Regions from separate parts of the Mus musculus genome. Here all the other regions are reported to be linked to region 3. The links are microRNA targets in miRTarBase. Many come from high-throughput screens and were not tested one by one. Region 3 holds a microRNA gene; each other region holds the end of a gene's coding sequence. Distances are between the middles of the regions.

Region 1 (3,000 bases), not on the chromosome of region 3:
TCCCCTACAGGGCATTGGAAACACCTTCCAGGGAGGGGCCAACTGCATCATGTTCGTCCTCTGTACCCGGGCAGTCCGCACAAGGCTCTTTTCTCTTTGCTGCTGCTGTCCTCGGCCCTCCACCCAGAGCCCTCCGGGGGCTCCTACGCCCCCCAAGATAGGAGAATCTCAGGAATCCAGACGGACCCCAGAAGTGCCCAGCACTTGAGCGGTTGGCTTTCCTCCCTGTCCGTACTGGCGCTGCCTTCCTGGTTCCTGCTTCAGGATTAGGAGACCAAGCATGCTGTCAGCCTGGCCTAAAGTGAAGATCGGAGCCCAGTGGAGGGACAGCCATCAGTATGGACTCTTCTACCTCCCAGACTTGCAGGCAGGCAGTGTGTTCCTTGCACACTCATGTCCTGGTTCAGTGGGGTTTGTTTGTGTAAGCACAAAGACCGTGAGACTCAGCTATGCGGGATACCGCCAGGGCATTGGTTCTCAGTGTCCCCGGCCACCAACGTTGTTTACAGTTGGAGGGATCCGTACCTGTGGACCCATCCCAGGCTTGACTGAATAATAATGAACACCATCTTGGATCCCAGACATCGCAGTATGGAGTCCGGGCTTGCCAGGGCGTTGAGAATCCCTAGAGACCCTGGGGGTAATTAGCAGTGCTGGTCAGCTGAGGGTAATATCCTTAAACTAGGTCCCAAGTCCACGGAAGTCACAGGAGACTGCCATCATTGATGAAAACCACCCGGGCACACACTCATGGGCATCTCACGGAATCTCTGCGTGGGTCATCGCCCCTCAGTGTTTATTACATCTGAATTTCAGCACAGGCCAGAGTCCAGAGTCCTGTCCATTAGTCAATCACTTAACATCCTCGTTCCCTCCAGGTACCAGGACAGAAGGCAGCTCAGCTCCAGCCCCTATGGACAATTACCAGTTCACCTACTGTTCTCACAGAGCCCTCTCCTCACGGTGACTCATACAGGGGGAGGGGGTCTGGCTCTGCACTTTGCTTAGGAAAGGTGACCAGTGAATGGATCTGATTCCACCCTGAAGGTGAATGTTTGAAGAGTCAGCCTCGGGCTGGCCTGTAGCTCCGTGTAGTTTCCAGGTTGGTCCTAGCACCCCAAATACTTAAAAGGCCTTTGTGTTTTGTAGTTATCTGGGGGATATAGAAATAGGATTCTGAGATGATTACATTTTATTTTGTTTTTTTGAGACAGGGTCTCATGTGGACATGCTGGCCTGGAACTTGTTATGTAGATCAGGCTGGCCTCCAACTCACAGAGATCCACCTGCCTCTGCCTCCTGATAGTTACATTTTTAAAAAAATGTTGTGTTGTGTTGTGCCTGTTAGGCAGGTGCTCCGCCACTGAGTTCAATCCCATGCCCCTCCCCACTCCCTTTTTTTTGAGACATAATCTTACTAAGTTGCCTAGACTGGCCTTCAACTCTCAGTCGACCAGGCTGGTCTTGAACTTAAGATTTTCCTACCTCAACTTCCCAGGAAGCTAGAATTGTCGCCTTTGGCTAGCAAGCCTGGCCAGAGCGGGGCTTAACTGAGATCTGCTCAGTGGCTCTTCCACCCACACATCCCTCATTTCAGAAAGCAGTGTGTGCCGACGTGCAGGCTCTCGGTGTGGGAAGTGTGCCCGCCACCTTGCAGTCAAGGTGAGGTAGCGCCCTTGGATTCTGTCAATACCCTCACAAAACCGAGAGGATGCTCAGAGCCTGGCTCAAGATGGAAGCAGAGTCACACGGGGCATCAGCGCCCATCTCTATCAGGAAAGGAATAGTCGCGCAGAGGGCTGTGTCTGTATGCTCCTCTTCTGGCTTCCTAAAGCATTTCTTTAGGAAACTCTACAAGAGGTGGGTTCCCTTTTGGGAGTCTAAGAAAGCTCCTTGGCTTGGTACTCTGTCTGCTTACAAAACCAGTCTGTGTAGGGTGTCCTGAGATCCTGTGAAGATATTACAGCCAATGTGTGCACTGTCAGCGTGTAGCGCAGCGGTAATGGATCTCCTGGCTTCTAAAATGGAACAGAAATTCTAGGAATTTGTCTCCTGGAGGGGAGAAAATAAACCACCAAATACTACGGAGGAAATGATGTTGGATAAACCCAGCTGGACAGAGCAGTGTGAAACCCTGGCTGTTTGGGGCTTTGTTCAAGGAAAGGCAGGCAGGGGGCATCCGAAAGCCCTGCTCCTGGAGCCTGGGGCTTACCCAAGTTTTCTCTGATGCCACTGGCCAGGATTGCTGTCCGTAAAACCCCCTACAAAGTCTACACTTGGCTCTTTCCATCTGTTTCCCATGCTGCCCTGTCACCGAAGGTGGCTGGTGGTGACCCGAGGCCCGGTGCCTGACCTCTAGCCCTACGTGCTCACAGACATCAACCTTAGCTCAGCCGGTGGCCAAGTGGGTCTTCTAGGCAGCCAGGGTTCAGAGCTGAAGAGGAATAGAAGAATCCTTGGGGCCAGGAGGGGCCTTAGCACCGGTGAGGACCAGCTCCCCTTTGCTTTGCTCAGCCTCGTGGGTTCCTATCTCTACTAGGAAGTGTCATTAATATCTGTCTGTCCGTGTTCCTCTGTCACCCAAATGTGACCTCAGCCTTAATGGGTGCTACAGCCCCCACACCCTTCTTAAGCACTTTATGAATTTTTTTTTTCCGAGACAGGGTTTCTCTGTATAGCCCTGGCTGTCCTGGAACTCACTCTGTAGACCAGGCTGGCCTCGAACTCAGAAATCCGCCTGCCTCTGCCTCCTGAGTGCTGGGATTAAAGACGTGTGTCACCACCGCCTGGTACACTTTGTGAATCTTGTTCTGCAAATCCGTTGCCAGCTGCTTCCTGCCTTTGACTTTCTGAGGCAGAGAGAGAGAGAGGGAGAGAGGGAGAGAGGGAGAGAGAGAGGGAGAGAATGTGTGTGTGCGTGAGATATTATGCTCTAGCATTTATCTCTCTTCATTTTTTTTTTTTGTTTTGTTTTTTAAGTTTCGAAACAGGGTTCTCAGG
Region 2 (3,000 bases), 4.1 Mb from region 3:
GTGCTGTGTGAATAACGCTTGACTTCAGGGGGTGAAGAGAAGACACTGAAAAATTATCAAGGATCTGATAGACGCCCCCAGCCTTAGAAATTTCCGACTTCAAGAAGAAATTTGATCTTAGCTAATGTTCATTAAAGGCAAATTTCAATGAAAATTAATGTGACTACCCTAAGTTGATGCATCTAAATGGGTCCGTTTAAGGCCACAAGGGTGTAAATTGAGTCAGAATCTTTCTATATAGTTTGCATAGAAAGTCAAACTGCTTGAAATACATCCCATTACCAAAAAAAAAAAAAAAAAAAATGATGGCAGACTTCCAAGCCATCTCTTATTTTTATAACAACAGAATAGTTTGGACCACCCTAAGATTCACTATCATTTGGCCACATAGCAGATACTTAGGGTTGTGACCCACTAATGAATTTCTGCATTCTGCTTACAGGTTGGAATTATGCTTTAAAAAGCCAGAGAAAATACTTAAGAATGAAGGAGAATATATTTTCTTATAAAAACAATCAATTATAACAATACCTTCTAACCAAAGGTATAATTATCAAATAGTAGTGTAGGGAACATACACACACACACACACACACACACACACACACACACACACACCCTGAAACCCAGGGCTACTATCTTACCCCCAAAATTACAAATTTACTTTGTGCCTGCTTTTCAAAATCTCCAAACCCAGAATATCTTCAATAACTAAGAGCTTGTATCTTATAGATTTTACTCATTCATAAGAGATTAGAAACCTTAATGTGAGTGTAATGTGGCTCTCCTTGGAGCCATTCTTATAGTAAATAGATACAGAATTGTTTAAAGTACTGCAAAGTGTACCAACTTTAACCAGGCTTTTAAAAGTTCATTTTAAACATATTTGCTGGTAGCTATCTATACAAGTCTATTAGCACCATATACAGTGGGTTAAAATATTCTTTCAAAGATGATTTAGGAGTGATTTTTAGTTTTATGTCTAAGAGGAAAACCATTAAAATAAATTTATTGAAGGGGTGTTGTGTTTTTATCTAAATTGAATGATACCCCATCACCCATTACAAACATGAAGATAGGCAAGCCTGAAGAAAATATTTTCACATTCCAGCCAAGAATCTTGCTAAACATCCACCATTTGGTTAATTTTCAAAGCCACATTAGTTACTTTTGCACAAGATCACAATATGTATTTACAAAATAAAAGATAGGAAAAAGCAGTGTATACATATGCAGCCCATAAACACAGTGTAAGTGCAAAGTGGATGAAAATAAGCAGTGCTCGCTGGACAGTGGTGGCGCACGACTTTAGTCCCAGCACTCAGGAAGCAGAGGCAGGCGGATCTCTAAGTTGGAGGCCAGCCTGGTCTACAGAGTGAGTTTCAGGACAGCCAAGGTTACACAGAGAAACCTTGTCTTGAAAACAACAACAACACAAAAAACAAAAATAACAACCAAACCAACTAGTGGTGCTCATGCCTCAAGAAGATGCTCAACAGACATTGTACCATGTGTACCACATCTTTTGTAACAAGTAGAAACAGTATCACTTAGTTTAGATAGTGGGATGGGGGTGCTGTACAATATGGACCCTAACGTGTGGGGTTGGGTAGTATGTTACAGTGTTATGGCTAGACAAAATGAAAAATACTGGTGTTGAAAATCTAGGCTTTAGTGTGAATTTTGACCTTTTATTCAGTTCATTACATAGTTTATGTTTGGCCAAGAACTATTTTCACAAGAATATTACGGTTTCCTGGCCCTTTAGCCAGGCGATGATGACCCATACCTTTAATCTCGACCAGCACTTGGGAAGCAGAGGCAGTCGGAATTCTGTGAGTTCGAGGCCAGCCTGGTCTATAGAGCGAGTTCCAGGACAGCCAGGGTTACACAGAGAAATACTATCTGGAAAAAACAAACAAACAAAAAAACAACCCAAAGAAGTAGCTCTGCTATTAGAATCCTTTGCTACCTGGGAAGTTTGCCTCCTGGATAAAAAATATACTCTTCCCCATTTGATTTCTCAGGAGAAAGGTTCACTCACAGATGGGTATATACAGGTCTTCTGGGCAGAGGGATGTTGGGGAGAGAACACACTTCCTGTGTCCATGCCTACACATGTGTTAACTATTGGCCTGACCGAAGGAACCCATGAACACCTTTAGTACAGAACTTGCTCAAGACTAGAAAAGCCCACTCACCTGATTCACCACTAGAGACAGCAGGAAGACCCTGTAAAAGGAAAGCGAATGGAGCGTTCACCTATAACCCAGGGTCGAACCATCAGAAAGAAACCCAGACTTAGTGACATTAAAGAACCATATAGCATACCCAGTGCTCAGTAGTCTTCCCTCCTCAAAGCACTGGGCTATTGCCTGCCACTTCCACACCTCCCCATAAGTCACTTCGCACTGTGATCTGTGCTGACTCCCTCCAGTCCAGAACTGTGTTTCAATGACAGAGTTTTACAACCTTCATTGATCCTTTAGCACTTCTGGGCTGGAACTGTACCCTTAGATTCCACAGATGATAAGCCTCTAATTTATTACTGAGAAAGAAGTGCCACAAAGGGATAAAAGAATTCATCTTTCAAGGGTTTTTTTCCCCCCTTTCTTTTCGTGACCTGGAAACGAAGTCACTGGAACAGCGTATTTATTTGATTATCCTCGGAAACCATTTCATTAACCAGCTGTTCTACAGACAACTCGATAGCATTCTTGACGAGAGAAGATGCTGTTTCTATTAAGAGTGTTTCATACTGTTCTGAAGTTCTCCCCTCGAAATCACTATCATTAGCAAAAACCCCCACTTGCTCGTTTTCCATTGAAATTAGGAATTGCTTAGGAACATTTTTAGACTTCTTAACATCAAATTCACTGATTTCAGTGTCAGTAATGATAATAGCAATTGGCTCCATTCGTTTGCTTTCTTCTGATCTCGGTTTCTCTGTATCAATTCCATTTTCTTTCAGATCTGGTGCATGGCTCGATATAGCTTCCT
Region 3 (3,000 bases):
GCACCTGGGAAAGGACAGCAACTGGTTTCCCTGAGGACAAAACAGAGTCACTTAGTAAAATCCCCTCAGAGTAAGAGGAAATTTGACTCACTAGATACATATTTTGTGGCAACGCCATGGTAGGTGCTAAGAACACAAGGGGCAAGCTTTTAAAGATCTGCCAGGGAGGTCTAGTGAGGGAGTTTCCTCGGGTAGCTAGGAATTGAGCAGATGAACAACAAGGAGAGCGGTGTACACTAGGACAACTGTAGTTCTAGTACTTGGGAGGCTGGGGCACCATGAGTTCCAGGCCAGTCTGTGTTACAAAACAAGGCCCTGTAACAAAAATCAGAAAAAGGGGGATGGAGAGATGGGTCAGAACTTAAGAGCCACAGGCTGCTTTTATGGAGGACCTAAATTTGATTTCCAACATCCACATGATGGCTCATAACACCAGTAAATCTAGTTCCAGGAGATCCAATGACCTCTTCTGGTCTCTACAGGCACTAGGCACACACATGATGCAGATGCAAACGAATACGCATACGTATACAACAAAAGTTTTAATAAATCAAAAGAAAAGAGGACAAATCCTTGTGTTGTATCTAGAAGAAGAGAGACTGCACAGAAGGACAGGCTGCTTAAGCAGTTCTTCTTTTATTTTTCAATCTAGTGAAATAGGTTATTGATTAAAAATTATTTAAATTTTTATAGCATCATACACAATATATGTTCTGGGTATATAAATATGAACAAAGATAACCCCAACGAGCTATAAGACAACAGCAAAAATTGTTTAAGAATCTGCTGCTCTAAATACAAAATTCCAAGTAAAGAGGCAGTGTGGACAGCAACTATGGGAAGGAGGTGACAGCTATGACGGAGAGGCTGCTGGAACTTGAGGTGCCAGGCACGATTAGAGCAAGGAAACCTATGCGGGGCTCCAGGATTTCACCCAGAAAAACTGTAGGAGTGAGGACGGCATTAAGAAAAGCAATGGAGAATAGAACAGAGCGCTGGGGAGAAAGCAGGCGTTTAACAAATGTGCCAGTAGGTAGGAAAGAGGAGAAGGGGAAGAGACCGGCTAGCTAAGTGTGGGGGCCACTCTTGTAGTGAGCACTTGGGAAGATGGCACAGGAGGACGGCCAGATATTGAGGCTACCTTGGGCTCCACAGTGATATTTGTCTCAAAATACAAAGAAGAGAAGGGAAGACAGAAGGACTAGGGAAGAGAGGGAAGGAAAAGGAAGAGGAGCTGACTAGCTAGCCCCTAAGTAGAGCTATTCGATGAGGAGGTCTGCTCTTTGCTGTTTTTTTTCTACTGTTCCATCTAAGCTCCTGGGTCCTCCTAATCCTGATCTCTCTTTGTCCCTTCATCAGCTCTCTACACAGTTAATGAGGCTGTTGTGAGCACTGGACTCACAGGGAATAAGGTAAATACTCAATGAAGTAATAGTCTTCCACTTATTTTCCTAACAGAGTAGTAACTTCAGTTTATTTCCTTTTTGTAAGATAGTACATTTAATCAGCAGAGATCCTAAACAAACTAATAAGGAAATCAGTAAGTAGAGTGAGAGTCTAAGGTTGTATGGAGGTGAACGATCAGACTCAGCCAGCTATTCTAAGTCAGACAGAGACCTCCATATTCATGTAGGACCGCTGCCTTCTGCAAACAAAGGCATTTTCTCCTTTGTCTACATGGTTGGTTTTGCAGCTTCCAGTTTGAATTCCTTTTGGTCAAACTTATTGACCAAACTTATTGTCCCTTAGATAGGCTAGAGATATACCTCTTTCGCATGTCTATGTAGTGTGATACCCTGGAGTTGATCCTCAGCACCACACATTCAAACACAGCAGTTAACATGATACACTACTATGTATTAACTCTACATGTACCTAGTTGAATATGTTATTTCAAAAGTATACACCAATGAACCACACCAGATCAAGACATGATTTCAAGCTTGGTCAATATCTTACCCTGGGATACCACTATTCTAACACCTATAATCTGCCTGTCCTTAAACACCACACAAACGGAATCATAGAAGACAGGTTCCTCTGTGGCTGTCTTCTTTCACTCAAAATTCTAGCCATGAGGCTCATGCACATCTACATGTGTGAGAGCATCAAGGTGTTCTTTTAATGTTTGCCCAGTGTTTTACTACATGGCCACTGTCCGCTCTGCTATCCACTGTCCTTTAGTGGACATTAGGCTTGTGTCAGCTTTTGGCTACACTAAGTAAAGCAGTCGCCATACTCCTGTATTTACTTATCCCCAGTGGAAACACAATTGCATCTCTTAGGGAGATCTGAGAGTGAGGCTCAAAATGTTATAAAGGCCATACCTTTAGCCTCAGCAGACACTGACCGCTTCCCCTGACGGCAGTACCTATTTAGAGTTGCCGAAAGTATAAAGCAGGATGGCTTCCTTAGTCTCACATCCCGGTCAACACTATCAGTCTTTTCCACTGGAACAATTCCAATCATTTTCAGTTACCTCATGAGTAATGAAGTTGAAAAGCTTCCTTACTTTTCTTCCTTCCTTTTTTAACTCTCATTAACTTCAGGCTGGCCATTCAGGTAAAGATGACCTTTAATTCCTGGGGTTGCCTTTCCAGAGGTCCTGGGTTACATTCCCAGTACCCACAGCTTACAACTATCTGTAACTCCATTTTCTAGGGAGTCCTACACATTCTGCTGACCTCTTGGGACACCAGACACACATAGAAGGATTAAAAAATTAAAATTACTTTAAAATGGAATTCTATCTTTCATAGATCATACTTTTTTATATACTCTGGCTATAAATTCTTATTCAATATATACATTACAAATTACAAGTACTTGTCCTTGGCTTATCTTTTCACAGATGTCATACCGTCTTTGATGAACAGAGGTCTTTAATTTTAAGAAATCAAATTTAGTAATTTTTTTCTAGTTCTATCCATTTGCCTAAGAATTTCATGAATTCATTGTTTTTAATAGCTGAGTTGTACTCCATTGTGTAAATGTAGCACA

What was found. Region 3 holds the annotated microRNA mmu-miR-1843b-5p (AUGGAGGUCUCUGUCUGACUU, at 1,603-1,623, opposite strand). A microRNA usually pairs through its seed, bases 2 to 8, with sites in the 3' UTR of a target mRNA and lowers its output. Matches are read on the target gene's strand: a 7mer-m8 pairs with bases 2 to 8, a 7mer-A1 pairs with bases 2 to 7 and ends in A, and an 8mer does both.
Region 1: the mRNA of Gpr157 is a reported target of mmu-miR-1843b-5p. Seed matches in the 3' UTR shown: 7mer-A1 at 1,265-1,271.
Region 2: the mRNA of Akap5 is a reported target of mmu-miR-1843b-5p. Seed matches in the 3' UTR shown: 7mer-A1 at 1,352-1,358.

Annotation. Positions count from the first base shown.
Region 1 is chr4:150,102,202-150,105,201 of GRCm38, forward strand. It overlaps Gpr157 (G protein-coupled receptor 157), which reads left to right. Exons shown (of 4, transcript NM_177366.3): 4 at 11-3,000. The coding sequence ends at 208. Among named protein-coding and RNA genes, the nearest start is that of Slc2a5, 16 kb to the right of the region's middle.
Region 2 is chr12:76,329,690-76,332,689 of GRCm38, reverse strand. Akap5 (A kinase (PRKA) anchor protein 5) reads right to left here. Exons shown (of 2, transcript NM_001101471.1): 2 at 1-3,000. The coding sequence ends at 2,636. Among named protein-coding and RNA genes, the nearest start is that of Akap5, 6.3 kb to the right of the region's middle.
Region 3 is chr12:80,390,051-80,393,050 of GRCm38, forward strand. It overlaps Mir1843a (microRNA 1843a), which reads right to left and starts at 1,627; the gene lies at 1,563-1,627. The region is part of intron 5 of Dcaf5 (DDB1 and CUL4 associated factor 5); the gene reads right to left. It also overlaps Scarna3b.